2 linked regions of the Alligator mississippiensis genome follow. The protein of the gene in region 2 purifies or fractionates together with the protein of the main gene of each other region. This does not show direct contact. Links are inferred from orthologs where the notes say so. Each region holds a gene or a part of one and is shown on either strand. Other genes may lie near its edges.

Evidence for each region. Proteins that work in one complex are often made in the same cells at the same time.
Region 1: the proteins of RAD23B (region 2) and PSMC6 fractionate together in Homo sapiens (co-fractionation; 4 studies listed by BioGRID and IntAct, with this or other methods). This does not show direct contact. The link is inferred for Alligator mississippiensis from reciprocal best matches to the Homo sapiens genes RAD23B and PSMC6.

What each region holds. Positions count from the first base shown.
Region 1 is NC_081825.1:300,635,815-300,645,685, forward strand, and holds the start of PSMC6 (26S proteasome regulatory subunit 10B), read right to left. Parts: upstream 4,876-9,871; 5' UTR 4,874-4,875; coding exon 4,747-4,873; intron 4,022-4,746; coding exon 3,942-4,021; intron 3,203-3,941; coding exon 3,163-3,202; intron 2,549-3,162; coding exon 2,496-2,548; intron 1-2,495. Other genes in the region: ERO1A (ERO1-like protein alpha), read left to right, coding at 8,330-8,440. UniProt on the Homo sapiens protein: Component of the 26S proteasome, a multiprotein complex involved in the ATP-dependent degradation of ubiquitinated proteins.
Region 2 is NC_081826.1:159,380,040-159,389,625, reverse strand, and holds the start of RAD23B (UV excision repair protein RAD23 homolog B), read right to left. Parts: upstream 4,568-9,586; 5' UTR 4,354-4,567; coding exon 4,288-4,353; intron 1-4,287. UniProt on the Homo sapiens protein: Multiubiquitin chain receptor involved in modulation of proteasomal degradation. Binds to polyubiquitin chains.

The DNA of each region.
Region 1 (9,871 bases), on a different chromosome or scaffold from region 2:
CAGGGGGAGCCGGTGGCAGAACTAAACAGCTGCAACAGCAAATCTGGCCCAGCGAGGCCCAGTTGGAAGCCTCTGCCTAGCAGGGGCTTCTGGCCTGGGGCTGTTCCTGCCTCCCTGCTCTGAGAGAAATACAGATAAGGAGATGGGGGAGAGAGGCAAGGGAGAATTGTGGGTGATCTTCTCAGGGCCACCTGGGCCAGCTCCTGCAGTGCCAGTGCTGCAGCTGGGAACCATGTGGTGCCAGCTGGGGGGGGGTGGGGGGGGAATGGCTGAGGCAGGTGGGGAGAAAGGGCAATGAGCAGCTGTGTGAAGCACGGTGAGAGCCAGGCAGGAGCACAGGGCCTGCACCGGTGCACTGGGGCCAGCCTGTGCTTCTCAAGCAGGGAAAAGAGGGAGCCACCACGGCTCCATAGAACCCCTGGCATCCCAGACCCTGCGCTCCTGCTGCCCCACTCTGGGCTCCGCTAGCGCTGACCCTGGTGCACCGGTGCGGGCCCCGCCCAGCTCTTGCTGCACTCTGCACACCCACTCCTACCCCTTCCCCCCGCCTGCCACAGCCATTTCCCCACTGCCCCCCACCCCCACTGCACTCTAGCACCACATAGTTCCCAGTTGCAGCGCGAGGACCGCAGGAGCAGCTGCGACATGGTGCAGGGTGGGGGGAATGGGGAAGCTTCAGAAGGGTAGCAGTGATAGACAGGGGGCAAGTGGCAGTGAGCAGGAGCATGGGGCCCACACCAGTGCCCTGGGGCTAGGAATGGCAGGAGCACAGAGCCCAGGTTTGCAGGAGCGCTAGCGGGCGCTCTGCCTGCCATTTGAGGGGAGGAAATAGGATGTGGGCAAACCCTCCTCCTCCATGCAAGCCACAACCCTCCCCAGCCACCTTCCCCCCACACACTCACATGCCCCAAGCCCCATACCCACCCACACCCAACACCCCCCACACAAATTTAACATACACACACACACACACACCTTCCCTCCTCTACACCCCACATACCCACAAACCTATACCCCACCTCCCACCCACACCCTCCCACAATATACAAGAGTAGGACTTCATTTTAAGCTGTTATATTGTCACCTCTATGTACACTACACAAACACATGTAAATCAGGACAAAAATATTTTTTGAAATGAAATTAATGAATGTTGTAGTACATGTTTAATTTTTAGAATATAATGTGGTATTTTTCTGGTTCAGAGATGGCAAAAAACCCTTGCTGAAAGGAGTAATTCTGGGGGGCAAGGGGAGCAAAAGTCAGGGGTTAGGGGGTGGGACTTCTGGTTCCAAGGTGGCAACCAGGGGGTGGGGCACCTGTCAAAAGGCAGGGCGACCCACGCGGGCCTCGATGGCTTGCCAAAACTTGGTAAGTGGCCCTCTGCCTGAAATAATTGCCCGCCCCTGGGTTAGGAGCAGTCAGCCCACTGGTAGGCAAATTGGCCGGTCACTGTTCAGATGAGGGTCACAGGACAGGCCCAAAAGGCTGAGCACCGGCCAGTCAAGGAGCGTGAGTAGGCAAGTCTGATGGCCTATTTGGTCACTCAAGGGAGCAGGGCAGGTTGCAAGTGGCTCAGTGATGGGCAGAGTTGAAGAGGCACCAGTGACAGGGAGGCGGTATGAATGTGGTCCTGAAAGGGGCGGTGTATAAGAGGACCAACAGTGGACCGAGTTTTGCCCGGCCTTAGACCGGACGTTTAATTATAATCTGGATGCCATCTGCGAGGAATCAGCCACAGCGTAGGGGTGGTATGGAGCTGTGGATAGTGCTCCTTGGTATCAGGGCATTAAAATGGGCAGCCTTCTGCTTATTACATTAGGTCCATTTTACAGCAAGTCATGGCAGGCGAAACAGGGCAGACTGCCCTAGACAAAGGGGCAGATCAGTATGGTGACATGATGGCCCCCCGTCACAGGCTCACAGTATAAAACTTGAAATGAGCAACAGTCAACCCTTAACTGAAAGCACCCAGATCACATAACTAAAGCTTATAACTTTCTTCCAGAAACTATGTAATTATCACAACATATACACAATGGGGTGATTTTGAGAATACAGTATTAAAAGAAAAACTGAACCAGGCAGGAGGTTCAGTGCAACTAGAAAAGGACAGCATGATGGAAACCAAAGTTGCACACACTTCTATGGTTAGATGTGGAGGCATAACCTTTCCAACCACCTGAGATGGGCAGAAACCATCTGATGAGATATGGGGGAGGGAGGTGTTAAATCGATGGGATGGATCAAACATCTCAAAATCCCCAGAAACTTCTTGGACTGTATCCTTTTTGCTTTCTTATTCAAGTCCAATATTCTTGATCTTTCACAGGCCATCACTAGGGTACAGAGAAAACTGCACACTGGGGCCAAGCACAAGTGAACAAAGAAAGCACAGAACTGTACAAATTTATAAAACACTGCTGAGACAAAGCAACTAGAGCATTTAACATGAAAGCAAGCTATTTAACAGTATCCATGTAAAGCAGGCTTACCTGACGACGACAGCCAACCACATATCGTGGCCCATTTGTAGCCTTCACAATAACTAGAAGAAAAAAAAAAAAGAACATATAAAACAAGTTTACACACTGTCCTTCACCCGTCTCCCTGCTACTGAGCAATACCAAGTACCACACAACGGGCATGTCTACATGTGCATATTAATGCAAAGAAACTATGGAGAAATAACTCAGCTTAATGCTCCGGGTGCACTGTTTAACGTTCGCACCTGGGACTGCAGCACGTCGAGCTGTGTCAGAGCAGCCCCAGCTGGCAGGGGGCCCAAAGGGGTCAGCTTGCCAGTCGGGGGCTGCTTCCCCTGGCTCAAAGTGCTGTGGAGGGGCTGGCTGGGGCATAACGGTGCTTCGGTGTGAGGCTAGCCAGCAGGTAGCCCCTGTAATAAAGCACCCTCATGCCTCAGCTAACCGGGGCAGTATCTACATGTTCACTGCTGTGAACTAGTTTAATAGGGGCACACATGTAGATGCATGACATTTACTGGGCAGCTAATTAGTTTACTGCAAAGTAAATGTCCTGTGTACACATGCCCAATATTTTCACAGTGCTGTGCAAATCCAGTGATTTAAAAGACAGTGTGACCACGCTGGCCTTTTGGTTTACTTTAGGAAGACAACATTTCAAGCAAGTGCCTGTACTTACACTTCTCTTCTGTTAGCTGCTTTAGAACCTCCCCCACAATCTAAACAAGAGAAACAGGGAAAAATACCATTAGATATATCATGTAGAATAGATACGTTGCATAGGGCACACTAAATTATCCTCAAAACAATTAACAGCCACTCCACAAGCACTACCTGTTTCCCTAGGCTCTGCTTCAGCTGTGATTTATTTTACACTCCCTTGTATAGCAGTCAGCATAGGGTGATGCTGTAGCTGCTATAGCCGGGAAATTAGGCGAGGGGCAAAGACTTCTGAGGGTGGTGTCTTTTACTGGACCAACCATGTCACTGGGATAAAGTTAGACTGGCAGCTGAGCACAAGACGCTCTCCCTCAGCTTTCAGAGGGTGTTGATACACATGCTTCAGGAGTTGAGGGGGTGCTTGAATTAGAGCAGCTCCAAAAGACGCTCTACTTAACGCGCGTGGAGTGGCTAGCATATCAGCATCCCTGTGCTTAAAACTGGCAGTGGGGGCATTTGAAGTAATGCTTGTCCACCGAGTTTTAGTTAAAGCACCCCTGCCACCATTTGTAAGCATGGGGATGCTGATACACGAGACACTGGAGTCTGCTGGAGCGCGGTAGTTGCCACAGACTCGATCACAGCACGTTGCAGCAGCCTCGTCTATAGGCACCCAGAGCTCTCCAGGGCCCGAGGCAGCATCCCTGACCTCCAAAACTTGTCTGACGTCACCCCCAGCACAGGCAGCCCAAGAAAAGACCCGTCCAAGAAAGCCCTGGGGCAGCCCGTCCGCCGCACCTGCCCGACGCTCTGCAGGGCCTTGAGGTCGTTCTCCGACTTCTCGTACTGCTTGGTGAGCTCCTTCAGCTGCTCGCGCACTGCGGGGGCAACACGGGGGTCCGTCAAGCTCCACATCCAGGCAGGGGCAAGGTCACTGCTCCCCTCCCCCTCCTGAGGGGAAGGGGCCCCCCTCAGCCTCACCCCCAGTGACATCATGGGGAGGAGCCAGGTACCACCTCTTCCTAAGGGGAAGACCCCCCCCTTCTGCCCCACCCCCAGTGAGGTCATGGGGAGGGGCCAGCCACCCCCCCTCCTCTCCTGAGGGGAAGAGACCCCCCCCTCAGCCCCACCCCCAGTGAGGTCATGGGGAGGGGCCAGGCAGCCCCCCTGCCTGAGGGGAAGAGACCCCCCCCTCAGCCCCACCCCCAGTGAGGTCATGGGGAGGGGCCAGGCAGCCCCCCTGCCTGAGGGGAAGAGACCCCCCCTCAGTCCCGCCCCCAGTGACATCATGGGGAGGGGTCAGGCACCCCCCCACCCCCCTCTTGAGGGGAAGACCCCTCAGCCCCACCCCCAGTGATGTCATGGGGAGGGGCCAGGCAGCCCCCCTACCTGAGGGGGAGAGACCCCTCTCAGCCCCGCCCCCAGTGACATCACGAGGAGGGGTCAGGTGTCGTCGTCCCCCCCCCGCCGCCGCAGGCCCCGCCCCCCGGCCCTCGGGCCCGTGACTAAGCGCCTCGCCCGGCCCACCCGGCCCGGCCCGGCTCGGCTCCAGGCCCGGCTCCCCTCAGCCCCGGCCCGGCCGACCCGCAGCGGCAGCGCTCACACTCCTTGAGGCGGCCGTCGATCTCCTTGTGCTCCAGCAGCTTCTTGCGGTAGTCCTGCAGCGCCTTGTCTCTCGGGTCCGCCATGATGAGCAGCCGCCGCTCATAGGGAATGCCGGGAAGGGCCATGGCCGCCGGGGGCGGGGCGGGCCGGGCCGGGCCGCCGGGGGGCGGGGCCGCCCGCGCGCACGCGCGCTGCTGCCGCCCGCCCGCCCGCGCCCCCTGGCGGGGAGGCGGCGGCGGCGCGCCGTGCACCGCCACCTGCTACCTCCTGGCTCCTCCGCGGCTCCAGCGCAGCCTCCCGCTGAGGCTGTGCGTGCAAACAGCTCTGTAGTGTGCACACGGAGGTGGTTTGCACTGCCACGGAGGCTGCTCTTCATCTGTCTCCTCCTTTCCCAGCCCTGCGGAAGAGCCCTTGATGCCCCAAGGCTTGCCCAGCACCTCTCCCGAGCGCACGGCTGCGCCAATAAAAGGCATCACAAACAATCCTGGTCCTGCTGCATTCCCGGTGGCTCGCAGCTAGGCTGCTGCACCCCGTTTACGTAAGGAAGTAGCATCCTCGCTGCTTCCCCCGCGAGAGCGTGCGGCGGTGGCTCCAGCGGGGTGCTGCGGCCGCCCGGGGTGCTTCGAGGTCCGTGCCGGGAGGTGCGCGAACATGATTCACGAGACAAACCCGGACATTGCAAACAGCAATCCACGCTGTTAAAAACCATCCGGACCTGGTGGGGCCTTGCTGAGCTCTTTGCAACAGCAAAATTGCTCTATTATTTTTCTGGAGTCAAAACACAAGTGGAAAGGAAGAGCTGGCATTTTGTGGGAGCTGCCTGGGGTCTTGTTTCCCACTGCCTTCTTGCTCTCCCGCCAGGCCAGAAAGTGCCTGCTGCCTGGGTGCAGCACGGCTCCGAGGATGCCACGCTCCCTGGACTTCCTGTGTCACACGCGAGAGGGAAGGACTCACTGGGTGACAGCCACCTTCCTCCTTCCTGGTAGTCCAGCCCCAAGGATTCCCCGTGGTCACAGCTGCTCCACGATCCACTGAAATTGAGGAGGGGGCTCTAGGGAAGGGGTCATGCAGCCAGCGGTATCCCCCACTGGGTTCGGGGACAGGTTAACCCCGTTGTGCCATGCTGATTCGCAACCCTGTGAGAGGTGGGATAGGCAGTGCAAAACAGGGGACTGACTTCCACCCCTTCCCTCTTGGGATGAGAGATGGACACGGGGGGCAGCGGATCACAGGTGTGGACGCGGCCTTGAGGGTCATCTGGTCCGACCCTTGCATGAATGCAGGGATGCTATTTCTAAACTACCCCTTTGAAGTGCTCATCTAGCCTCCTCTTGAAAGCCTCCAGGAAGGAGTCCATGACTTCCCCGGGCAGCCTGTTCCACTGCCTCGCTGCTCGGACAGCAGGAAGTTTTTTCTGAGATCTCGTCTGAATCCGCTTTGCTGCAGTTTCAAACCATCCCTTGGTGTCCTGTCTGCAGCAGGAGAACAGCTGTTCTCCCTCCTCCTTATGGCAGCTTTTCAGATGTTTGCAGACTGCTATCATGCCCTTTCTCAGCCACCTTTTCTCTGAGCAAAACATACTTTGCTGTCCTGAACAGCTTGCCCTCCATCCTCCTGACCAGGGCTGGGTAATTATTTTGGTGAGCTGCTGCAAGGTCGGGGCGTGCTGACCTGGCCCAGCTTGGCGGGATGGGGGGTGCTGACCTGGCTTGGCACGGGGTAGGCAATTGATTGTATCTGGCCCAGACCTGTCCCTACACCCACCACCACGAGCGCAGGACGGAGCAGGCAGGGTCTCCACAGACACTGGGACCCCTGCAAGCAGGCTGTGCTTGGCTGGGTAGATGGGATGGGACCACAGGCCAGATAAAATCCCTTAGCACATTGAATCCGGCCTGCCCTGTGGGCCATATTCTGTCCACCCTGCTCTGGACCCTCTCCAGGCTCTCCACGTCCTTCTTAAAACGTGGACAGTACACCGTGCCCTAGCTGAGGCCTAACCTGCCCCGAGTAGAGTGGTACTATCACCTCGCACAGCCGTGCGGCACCTCTTACTCCTGCTGGTGTAGCCCGCAATTGTATTTGCTGTGTGTGTGACCGCATCACGGGTGCTGCACCGCGCCGGCTGCCAGCAAGGGGAGGAAGCACTTTTGAAAACTGACCCGGTTGTGTTCACCTGGATGCGGTTTACCTACGATCAGGCCCCCCGGTTTGGAAATCCTGCTGTCTCAGCTTCCTGGTGCACGCATCACGGTGTATTTATACTTCCCTTCCTTGATGGTGCATTAGGTGCGTTTTGATGTAGGTGCCCATCGAAGCACACAAAGGCAGGTAAATATTATGACGAGGACGTTAGTCACGTCATTCTGTAGAAACTGTCATTTGAACAGGGAAGTGTCAATCGCGGGTAAGCCGTAAGGAAGCTATTATTTCTAGGGAGCCGTCAGGACAAATCAGGCTGCATCACCGCTCAGTCACATCGGGTGAATGGTGCTCCGAGAATTACTCATTTTGTGCAATGTTGCTTTTCGCAGGTGCTCTTCAGAGCTGGCTTGTGCTGGCTCAGCAATGATGTGTTCAGGGACCTGCCTTTCTGAGAAAGACTTCCTCGCTTTTCAAGCAATGGGGCAATGAAATAGATTCCCCGAGGAAGTTGTGGACTCCTTCCTGGAGGCTTTCAAGATGAGGCTAGATGAGTGCTTCAAAGGGGTAGTTTAAAAATAGCATCTCTGCATTCATGCAAGGGTTGGACCAGATGACCCTCAAGACCGTGTCCACACCTATGATCCACTTCTCCACGCATCCATCTCCCATCCCAAGAGCAAAGGGGTGTTAGTCAGCCCCCTGTTTTGCTCTCCCTGCCTATCCCACGTCTCGTGGACCGTCTAGGTCTTGCCTCTCTGCTCAGGGTCAGACCAGCGCCACGTGGGGTCAGGGAGGGATTCCCCCCCTGCTCAGACTGGCATGGACTGGGGGGTTGCCTTCCTGTGTAGGGGGGGCACGGCCCCTACATCACGTATATGACAGCATCCCCTAGAAGCAGCACCTCGGCTGCCCGGTTCCCCAGCTTCACCCGCAACACCTTCGGGGGTCACGTCTGTGCGTGACCACCCCCTTACATAGAGCTTAGCTCAACCTCTTTCATTTGCGGCCCCCTAAAACATGTCCAAAGGAAGCGCGGGCCCCTTTGAAGAGTACGCCCAGGCTTGCCATCTCGGGCAGGTGGGAAACCACCGGCTCACACCATGGGTTGGCCGGTCCTGCCTGGGGATGTGACTTGCCAACGCCTCTCCTTGCTCCGGCATCTTTCCCGGAGCCAGGAAGCGAGGGGCCCGCGCTCTCGGGAAGGGTGCAGCGCCGCGGGCGGTGCTTGCCTGGGCGGGTGCCGGCCGGGCACGCGTGTGCGGGGCGGGCGGGGGTCAGCGGGGGCGGGCGTGTCCCGCGTGGGTGGGGGGAGCCGAGCCGAGCCGAGCCGGGCGGCACGTCCGCGGCGGGCGGGGGGGCGATCCCGGCCGCGCCCCGGGGCGGAGCCGCGCGCGGCTCTAGAGCGGCCGGGCGCCGGCGGCGCCGCACACCGAGCCATGCGCCGCGCACGGGCGATGCCGCTGCTGCTGCCGCTGCTGCCGCTGCTGGTCGGGGCGGCGCTGGGGCTGCAGCCGCCGGGCTCCGCGGAGCAGCGCTGCTTCTGCCGGGTGAGCGCTCCCGGCCCGGCCGGGCCCCGGGGAGAGGAGAGGAGGGCAGGGCAGGGGGGTGCGACCCGGCAGAGCCAGCTGGGACCGCTGAGGTCCGGCCGGACGAAACACACGCGGAGGTGGGATTTCTGGAGCCAGCCCCGCGTCCTGCGCTCTGCAGCCGCCGTTTCTGGTTTTAGACATGCCTTTTCGGGTTTTAATTCCCCTGCCTTGCTGCTCAGCAGAGAGCCGCAGGGGGAGGAAAGAGCCAGGGGAAGTGAGAGGTGCAGCCCGGCACGTAGGAGGAGGCACTTTCCCACGAGCAGAGCAAACGCTGGCCTCTCCTCCCGCTTCCTCGCCGCGCTTCTCTGACCCGGCTGCCATAGCTGGGCGACTAGTTCAGCCGGACGCGGATCCTTTGTTTCATCGACTGCCTTCTTGCGACGCGGCCTGCAAGGCTCCTGGTAGAGGGGATCTCTTTCAAGACCCGCCCGGCTGGGGCTCGTGGTGGAGGGGATCTCTTTCAAGACTCACCCGGCTGGCATCTGAGTTGGATCTTGCATGTGGCGCATGTGATCTGGAGGGGTGTTTGTTGGTCCCGTGTACAGTCCGGTGCCTGTTCGTCCCCAAGGAAGTTGACATATATATATATATGTGATCCTTGGTTAGGTACCCGGGTTGTAGCCGTAATGGCCTAGGGGAAAAGGCAATCGGGGCTCGTGGTAGAGGCGATCTCTTTGGTCAGACCAACAAGATTTTTGCGGGGAAAAAAAAGGCTTTAATTACAGATAAATAATTTTTTTTGCAAAACTCTTGTTGGTCTGACCAAAGAGATCACCTCCACCACGAGCCTTGATCCTCAGTTAGGCATGTCATGATCGATTCAGGTTTCTGCTGGCATTTTCTCTCTCCCACATGGTGCGTTGCTAGAGTTACACTGCTTTATGCTCACCGAGGACTCGGCCTGCTGTGCTTAAGTGATGGTTGACCAGCCTCAGTAGTCATGGAAGTATGGCTTACGAGCCTGGTGGGAACCGGTTCTTGCAAGCGGATCCGCACGAACAGGTGCTGCAGGCAACCCCGGGCCCGCAGAGGGTTCCTGTGGGCTTGTTTGCAGAACCGGGGCATCAAACTGCAGCAGGATACTTTCATTGCCTGACCTGTGTTTACATCCTGTAACTGCCATGTGGTAAGAGCAGGATTTGCATTTACTTCCCTTTTTTATGGACAGAAAATAAAGGAAGGATGGAAATGGGCAATTGCACAATACCACTTTCTATCTGGTCTGTCAAGCCAGGCCTCTTGTGGTCTGCTATCTGGTACCATGTAGACCGGTACAACCTGTTCCATGGTCGGTTGTCGGTGACTAAACCGGTGCCCCCCCCGGGCTAACCTGGGTGAGGAGGGTGTGTGGACACACAGCAGGACTAAAAACAAGACCTGTCAAAGGGC
Region 2 (9,586 bases):
CTTGTGTTTTTGCTAACACTGCCACAGAGTTGTATCTGAATGAGCTGCACAAGCACATTTGGGATGGAGACAGCCACAAAGGGACTTAGGGGAAAAAAAGGACAAAAATAAAGAAAATAAGCAGAAAATAGAAAAGATGTCTTTCAAGTGTACCTCATAGTAACGGAAGTTCCATTTTAGATCTGTCTGCTTGTGAACCAATTGATCTTTTGCTATTGTGTAAAGTTGTCTCACAAATTAAGCCTTCTGACACCACCTTCAAAATGTCTGTTCTAGCTTTTACAGTTTAAGAGATGTGAACTCCACCTTAGAGATCTTCCAGCATTATTGTTTTTGTGCCTTTTAAGGGACTGGTAGTTTGATACGTTTAAATCAGCGATTCTCTCTCTACCAGAGGGCTTTAGGTGCCTTGGAATCCTTTGAACGGTACTATACCTTTGAAGGGTACTATACAGTGTTACATAATTTTAGCACTGTTAGATGGGCAAACACAATTCACAAGATAAACCCAGAGATTTCCAAAAGGAATCCACAGGGTTAAAAACATTCTGCCCTGTTGGGGGCTTCCTAAGTTCTTTGCAATAGAAGAATCAATGTATTATTTTTTGTGAAAAAGAGTGAAAGCTAGGAGTTGGCATTTTCCACGGTGTGTCTTGATGCTAATAAGGTTAAGAACTACTAATTTAAAGGAAGATCTTCCACCTTCTTCCCATCTGTATACTATGGTATACACCAATCTCAGGCTTCACACAAATGCTACTAAAACTATAGCTGTATTCCCAACTCAACCCCAAAAGCTCACCTTGCAAGATTTGGTTCAGCCCTGAAAAATTCACATGATCACTAGTCAGATACTAACCCAACTCCATTTGTTTCTAAGCATCTTTTCCCAGCTAGCACAAAATCAACCCCGCAAGCATGGTTTGAAATTGTATAGCTGACTGCTCACTGACCACTGACTGCTCTTAATCAGATGGTCTATAACACAACTAAGCAGAATTGAGGAAGCCATGGTCTTCTGGAATCAAATTTGCATATGTAGCTACCATTTCAATCACCCAATGGATTACTTTAGTGCAGTGCATGATGTAATTCACAGATTTATCATTGTGACTAGAAAAAAACTCAAAACAGAACTAGAGCTACAAATTATTTTAAGATACTTTCCCTAAAGCTATTAGTGAGTACTTCACCAGAAGAGCCTTGATGGATTTTAACCATGTTCTGTGCCCCTGTAACTGACAATAGTTTTTTTACCCCTATGATTAATTGCTAGACAGACATTTTACCAATCCACCGAAATCCTTTGTATATTCCTATTTGAGTATCTTTTTCCCAGCATCCACCAACAACTCTTGATAATCTTTCCTGGATTACTACATAACTTTAGACCCAAAACTCTATTCTGTGCACCTTTCCCACTTTAATCTCAGATGACAGCTCTGCTGGATCTCCTCCATGCCCAAGGCTACTGCTTTGCTAGAACACACTCCAAGGTACATTCAGTAGGGTTGAAATTAGTACCTACCTTAAATTTCTCTAACATATATATTGCAGAATGACAAGGATGTTAGGAATGAAGCAAAATATCTATGCATGTTTAAGCAAGGCTGTCCCACAACAGGTTAATAAACAGACCTCAAGCTCCTACCTGGCTGCTGCTCCCCTTACTGCTCCAGCTGCTACTGCAGCTGAGGTCTCTAAGGTACCCCTCCTTCCCACAACTTTTCCTTTTTTGCTCCTGTCCCAAGGGACAAAATGCCACACTACATGGCGCACAGTGGTGTGGCAGTGTGTGTGTGGGGGGTTAATCGTTCATGCAGTACAGGAGCTGTGGCTTGTAGAAGTGTGGCCCCTGGAGAATGCAGCCCCATTGGTATGGTCTGTGAACCACAACCGCTTACAATCTGGACAGTCCTGTGTTAAACAGAATGCATTTAGTCATTGGCTTGAAAAATAAGCTACCCTAACTTCAAGAGTTTCCTGTTGACACTTTCTTGAAGCAAGCTTTCCATACAAATGTTCAAATACTGTGGCAGAATGCTAACACATGAAAATGCATGCTCTGTTAACGAAAAAGCTGTGTAAAGACAACTGCCACTCACTCTGCCATTCCTCTTGCTCCTGGCATTTTTTCCAGTTTGAACAAATACCAGCATAGCAAAATGTAATTAAAACATAAACATACTTTTGTCTAAGGTGATATTTAACACTGTATTGAAGCTGAAGAATTTTTTTACCCAACTATGCTACTTTTACCTAAAATGGTTTACACTCCCAGATCATGCTAAATACATTTGCATCTCTAAATCCTAAACAGCATTCATTTTACCAGTAGCTTTACAAGTCTATAACTCCAGACTGTCATAATTGCTTTTCACCTATCAGTCAAGAATGTGTCAGCTACATAGTACTGCATCCACTTCAAGTAGTGGGAATCATTTAATTTCAATTAAGGGATGTTAGTAAACAAAGAGTGCCCACACAGCAGTACAGGAACAAGTGATTTGGTCCATCATCATGACAAATGTTTAACTGACAATGGTCATAGAACTAAGCCTGCTCAACTGGCAACACAGTTTTCTGTATATGATATCAGGGGTGCACCTATGACCCCTGCATGCTTGCTCCAAAATTCATTCCACAGAAGTTGAACATATCTCCTGGACTTTGAGTAGTATTTTCCCTCATTTCATACATTACAGGACTTTTCAAACCATGAAGTCTTTAGCCAGCCACAACTTTCTTAAAAATGGTTTTATATCAGGCGGGACAATCTACCATCTCCACTCAGTTATTTCAAAAATAGTGCTTTGACAAATATAGAACAGCTCATGTTTTAGGTCCAGCATTCAGAAAATGCAAATTCTGGTCACATCTTTTAAAATCAATGTAGCACTAATATTTAAAACTAGCTCTGAGCTACAAAATATACTCATTGCACTGAGCTTTTTCCTTTGTCAAATAGGAAAAAAGTAGTGGTTCAATGCCAAGTGTTCAAGTCGTTACAATACAGCTTATGACAGGGATGTCAAAGTTGTTTGGCCTTGTGAGCCAAATCCAGACCACAAGGCTCCCCATGGGCCAGACGACCCAAGAACATCAGGGGCGGCCACCATTAATCTTGTGGCTGCCATAAGTCCTCTCTTCCGCTGTCACCAATTAACATTGCAGAGAGACCCATGGGTCAAATTTGGCCTACAGGCTGTATGTTCGACATGCCTGGTTTAATGACAAAAAGTAGTTAATGATATTTTCAGTGGTATGTATAAATACTAACATGATTTCTGATAACTGCATACTTCTAGTGCTGAACCTAGAGCTGCTGTTTCAGGATGGCCTCACATTGTTGCTCAACCTCAGGCTTGTTTTAAGTTTGATTTGTACAGGGAAAGTAAAAGACAGAAAATGCTAGAAACAGCAGCAGGTTTAAAAGCAACAAGTTTCCTGGGCCTATCATAACCAGACCGTTTTGGCCAGTCACAGCACAGGGCAGTGATCCAAGTAAATAAGCCTACCTCTAGCACGGAGGACATGAAAACAGCACACGAAGTGTAATGCTCCAGGGGCTCTCCGGAGCAAACACAACCTGACTCTGCGCAAGCCTCCAACTTAATCTGGGGCAGTGGCACACTTCAGTCTCAAGAAATATTTAAAAAAGGAGGCTGAGGGGACGCTCAACTAGCAAAAGTGTGACTAACCAGGTGCCTGAAAAGATTTGGCGGTTTAAACAGGCTCCGGTTTTTACCATGAGGCTCTGGAGCATGAGCTGGCAGTACAGCCCTACCACCAACCCCCCCTGCCTGGGCCCGCTTTTCCAGACAAGTTTCTCCTGAATTTTGACCAGCCCTCTGAGGGGATTTCACAGCACCCTGACGGCTGCTCTGGAGTTAAGGAGAGCAGGGAACCATCGCTGCCTGTTCCGCCTCTAAATCCAGCCCAGCTCATGGCTTGAGAGGAGCCACAGCAGCACCCCTGGGGCCAGGTCTTCGCTCACGTCCAGTCCCAGGATTCAATGGAGAGGCTGGAGGCAGGCCTCTGGGGCCCATCCCCCCGCCCCGCTGGCAGCCAGGCCGTTTTGCAGTCTCACATGCCCAGGAGCGCAGGCCGGGCCGCCTCAGCCCTCGGTGCGGGGGCCCGCACTAAGGAGCCATGGAGGCCTGCGGCCTGCCCGGAGCCGCGCCGCACCGCGCAGCCCGCTCCGCTCCTCCCCGGCCGCCAAGGCCCTTGCGACCCCCCGCCCGCCCGCCCGCCCAGGCAGGCCCCGGCCCCGGCCCCGGCCCGCACCGTCTCTTCGGGGTCGATATCGATCTTGAAGGTCTGCTGCTGCAGCGTCTTCAGCGTGATCTGCATGGCGGCGCCGCGGGCCCAGCGAGGCCGCCCCCGCCCACCCGCCGGCTGCTGGCGCGGGCTGTCCGCGCTGCGCTGCGCTGCGCTGCGCTGCGCCGGGAGGGGGGCAGGTGCGCAGGCGCGGAGGGCGGGGGGAGGCAGCGCGCGCGCGCGCGCGGGAGCCGGGGGTGGCGGGCCGCGTGGGGGAGGGGTGGGTGCCGCCGCCGCTCACGGCCTGGCCGCCGCCATCGTGACTCGCGTCCGCAGCCCCCCGCGCCAGCCAGGGCGGGGGAGGGGAAGCGCGCGGCGCATGCGCGGGGGGGGGGAAGTGGCTGGTGCGCAGGCGCGGAGCGGGGCCCGAGGGGCGGGGCCGCAGGATTCTCCCTCCTCCATCCCGTCAAGTTCCCCTTAAAAATAAATAAAAGCCTCAGCGCGGGGTGAACTTGAGACAAACGCACGGGCTAGGCCCAGCGTGAGTGGTTATGCTGGGATAAGGACATGTTCAGACCCGGTCTGGGCGGGCATGCCAGGCCCTGGACTGTTCTGCTCCGGGACAGGCTGCATCTCACGTCTGTTCCTGGCTTCAGACCAGCGGCTCTTGGTCTCATTTGGACTGCAGTGCAGGCGGCCTCGTGCCGCCTCTCGCTCTTCCTCAACTGCGGGGAAGCGAGAGATGTCGGGTATCCAGGTTGCAGCCGCATTGGTCTAGAGGACAAGGCAGTCAGGACTTGCAGTAGAGACGATATCTTTTATTAGACCACCATGCAGCAACCGGCGACCCTCCTGGAGCACAGTGTATGCATGAGGGCCACCCAGACCTTAGCTGCCTATGCCTGGGTGGGATATTTTGGAGGAGCGGAGGCTACTAGACCAACAAGATGAGAGCAAGTCTCGTCCCAGAAGAACTCAGGAAGGCAGCCAGAGGGCAGCAATGGGGTTTTGACAGTGTGAATTCCTATCTGAAATCATGCGCAAGGGTTTGCACGCCTCGCCACACTAATATTGTATAGCGCTCTTCAAAGGGATGTCACAGCACCCTAGCTGAGCACCCCCTATGCCTTGGGTAGCAGGAGTAGGGAGAGAGGGTAGGTCTTTTTTTAACTGAAAGTGGCACCTCGTTCCCCTGGGAGAAGAGGAAGCCAGTCTTTAAGGCCAGGGTCAGACATTACACTTGTACTGGTATAAGTGATTGGAAACCAGTCTATACCTGTAATAAAACAGACATTCAGCACACAAAACTGGTCTATACTCGTAACAGAGCAGAATTTCAGCACAGACTGGTTTAAAAATGGTGGAACCCAGTCTAGGATTTCCCCCCCCCCCCCGGGGGCAAATGTGTGTTCTGTTCATAAATGACTCGTCCTAATACTCCAGGCCACTGGCAGAGCTCAAACATGTGATGTTTCAAAGGATGAGTAAAATTTAAGAATTATTCATGCAGATTTAAATAATTTTTTTAAAAAACCCGCCTATACCAACATGTCCAGGAACTGCTAACAATCCTGTAGGGTTTGAGTCCTAAATGGTAATTTTCCAATAGTGTATTGTGTGCAAATAATGAAATAACTCCACCAGAAAATATACCAGTGCAGAGGAAACAACCCCTTACAACCCTCCTCAAGGTCATGCATTTCTCATTAGACCTTATAAAATAAATGGCTTTTGCACTGTCCCCAAGTCATTGCGTTCAGAGTATTTAGATCATGGGGAAAAGCCCTCATAAAGAACATCCTGTGAGCAGCACCATCTTTTTTATATAAAAGGTTTCTCCTCAAGCGCTTTTGCTGGCCACTGCAGTAAGTGATGAGGAGAGAGAGTCTTTCAAGCCAGAAGGTTTGCAACGGTTGAGGACTCCAGTTACTGAAAGTCTCAGTAAAACACATACTTTGCTGAAAGAAGACAGTAGCATTCAGACATCTCAGTGAGTGATCTCCTTTTCCCATAATAGTACTGGATACAAACTACCCTTTTGAAATGTGTGGGCACCTGGGAGAGAACATTCATGTCCTACTGTCCCATCTTATTTTTAGTTTAAACATTGGTGCCCAATTACTGAATTAAGTTGGATGGTAGTGGACACAACAAGAAGGAGGTCTTAATGTTACTTACAGAAAATCCCATTGGCATTGCTATATTTCTACAAGAAATACATACTGTAAACTGTAGACACAGTCAATTACTGATGGACCACGCTGACCAGTGCCGACTACAGACCTAGCAGAAGCCTGAGTTATGAATATGATGTGCTTAAAATGATATACAACCAATAATCAACAAGCTTGCATTTAAGTCATAAGCAATAGCCTGGGTAAACAGAATAAGAATCTGTTTATCAAGGCCACTAGTATTAGATTAGGCCAAGAATGAATAACTGCTTTGTGGACAGTGTTTTATAGAAGCTAAAAGGTAACGACTGATGTTTTAAGAATTAAGTTGTATGTAGTCATCTAGAATTTTATTGGAGGAATAATGGGTCTTGTTTAACTTGTTGTCAGCCTTGGCCCCTTTCAAGGGACTTATGCTAAGTAGCAGCAGGGTGGTTAAAGCAGGCCACAAAGCCTGTTTCAGAATGAACTTTTGTAAATGTATTACAACTGGCTTAGTCAGCAAAGTTAAAGAAACAGAACATGGCAAATTGCATTCCCAGAGGGTGAGGGAGAGAGAGAGATAAGAGGTCCTCTCGCTCTCCCAGAGTTGTATTTTTCACAAGAACATAGACCTCAGCTAACTGGCTTCCACAGAAAAGCTGGGATAGTCCAGTTCCTAAAATCTCAGTGAAACAAAGAAATTTGAATAACACCAATCAGAATATTAAAATAAGCCACATATAAATATTGGGTATTTGGGAAAGGCCTCAACAAATTCAAGATGCCTGATGCTAGCCTGCATGCTACCTTCCTCCTGCCTTCTGCATCTCCCCCTCTCCCCCCCAGTTGGTATAGCTGAGAAACTGTGTTGTGCTCTTGCAGGTAACTTGAGATAGGGTTGGCAAGCCAGTCAATTGACCAGTCCAGTATTATCAACTGACTGGTCCATTAACTGCATATTTTTTGACTGGTCAAAAATTATAGCAATTTTATATTTTTTTAAGCTACATTTATTGTAGTTTTTTTGACAGACATATGATTTTTTATTGCTTTTTGACACATTCCTTAATGGAAAATGTTGTGCTTTTTCTGTATATTATTAGACCTATTGGCAAATTTTTACAGTTTTTGACTGACATTTGACCCGTCAACTGACTGAACTTTATTTGCCTGGTCAAATACCCTGTGTTGCCAACTCTCATGATTTTTGGCATTGTTCTTAAAATCTACACTTCAGGAATGTGAAAAACTTAGCTCTTTCTTTTATTTCTATATATAAATATAGATTATATATATGTATATAATCTATATATAAATATAGATGTAATCTAAATATAGATAAAAGAAAGAACTAAGGTTTTCACATTCCTGAAGCAGAGACTTTAAAAACAATGCCAAAAATCATGAGAGTTGGCAATTCTGAATACCCAGCCCTAGCTAGAGACAAATGCTTATTATTGTGCTTTGGTGTTGGGCTCTAGACCTGTCTCTTGCCTTTTTATCTGACTTGGGTGGTAGTAATATCTTATCTGCTAAGAGGGAATGGAGGATCATTGGGAAATGTGATTGTATCTTATTTGATGTTCAAAAAAAGTAATCATTAAGGAACGTGTAACTGACCCTTAACTTGTGTCTAAACTTGCAAAAGAATTCTCATCTTAGGCTGTAGTCTTGTCTCTCTGGAGACCGAATGGTACTTTGTTTTTGGTAACAATACAGCTACATTTTTACCCACATGACATATTTTTAAAAGCAAGAGTCTTTCTAAAATTTGTGCCATAGTTCAAACAAGGATTAATTTGGAAAGTCTGTTATGCTGGAGGTCTGATGAGATAAATCATTGTGACCCCTTCTGGCTTTATAATTGATGAATGTATTAATTATACACATTTGTATATATATATGTATATATATAAACACATTTGATATGGTTTTTAATACCTTTTTGAAGTTGCAACCCCTTTCAACATTTTCATTTGACCAGTACTTAGAAAAAAGAATCCAGGCACATTCTTGACTCAAAAAGGAAAGTCTATGGCCTGATGGATGTTGCATTACTGTAGTGTGACTCGGAAGAAGGCAGACCCATCTCTGCCACTGGCCGTTGTTCCATCTCAGCTGTGTGTTCTTGGGAACCCTGGCACAGGATGCAGTCTGTCTGACTCACCCCCTCCTCCCTCTGCTCCTCTACATAAATGAAACTGATTAAGATGCAGTGAGAGACACACCTAAGACCCTCCAGATAACGGTGACAAGAGTGAAACAACTGCCCTAGGTCTCATTTGCATCTGAGATGGAACCACATGACCATTCATTTACATGAGAGATGGAGAACAGAAAGCCTGAAGCAGAGACTGCAGTGAATTCTGGGACCAGAGAAGCAGGGGAGCACTGCATGATGGGGAATCTGTGCTTCAAATGTTAATCAACCCATGTTCACACACACCCAGCTCAGCATTTATCAGACCAGTTCTAATCTGGATTTACTAAGGACTCCCCCCCCCCCCCCCGACACATACACACCTCTAAGTTTAATAGGCATCTCGGGCCATACATTCCCCGGTCCCACTATGGGAGGCCTATTTAAACTTGATAGACTAAAACTCGGTTGCCGGGTTAGGGAATGCTGAGGCAAGAGACCGAGTCAGAGGGGGTATGGGCAGCATTTGAACAATGGTAAAAGGTTCATCACAGCGTCCAACCCGTTGGAGCCCTAATCACAGGTGTTGCCATACTTTTCCCGAGACGACTGGTGGGAGTCCTCTCCACAAAAGGTTATGAGCACCCCAATAATTATCTTAAGTCTGTTAAAAGACTATAGTAAGATCTGAAAAAGTCATGCTAAGCTGAGGCTTGTGCACAACAAGTAAAAATCCAAAATCCTGATGCTGCAGCTATCTATTGTTTCTGAAGAAACCATGAGATATCCCATCAGTATATCTGCTATCCATAGGAATTTCAAGCTGGCTCCCAAGTATCTGGTAACTCCCTAACGTTATGTGTTTCCTGATTATCAATCAGTTTCTTGAGATGGTCCAAACCAGATAACCCCTTGTCAATAGAAAAGACAATGATTTACACAATTGAGGATGCTTCGAAGCAGCTGAACTGAGGGTATAAACATCTGTAAAAGTGTGGGTGCTTCAGAGGGAAAGGAAGAAAGGAAGAAA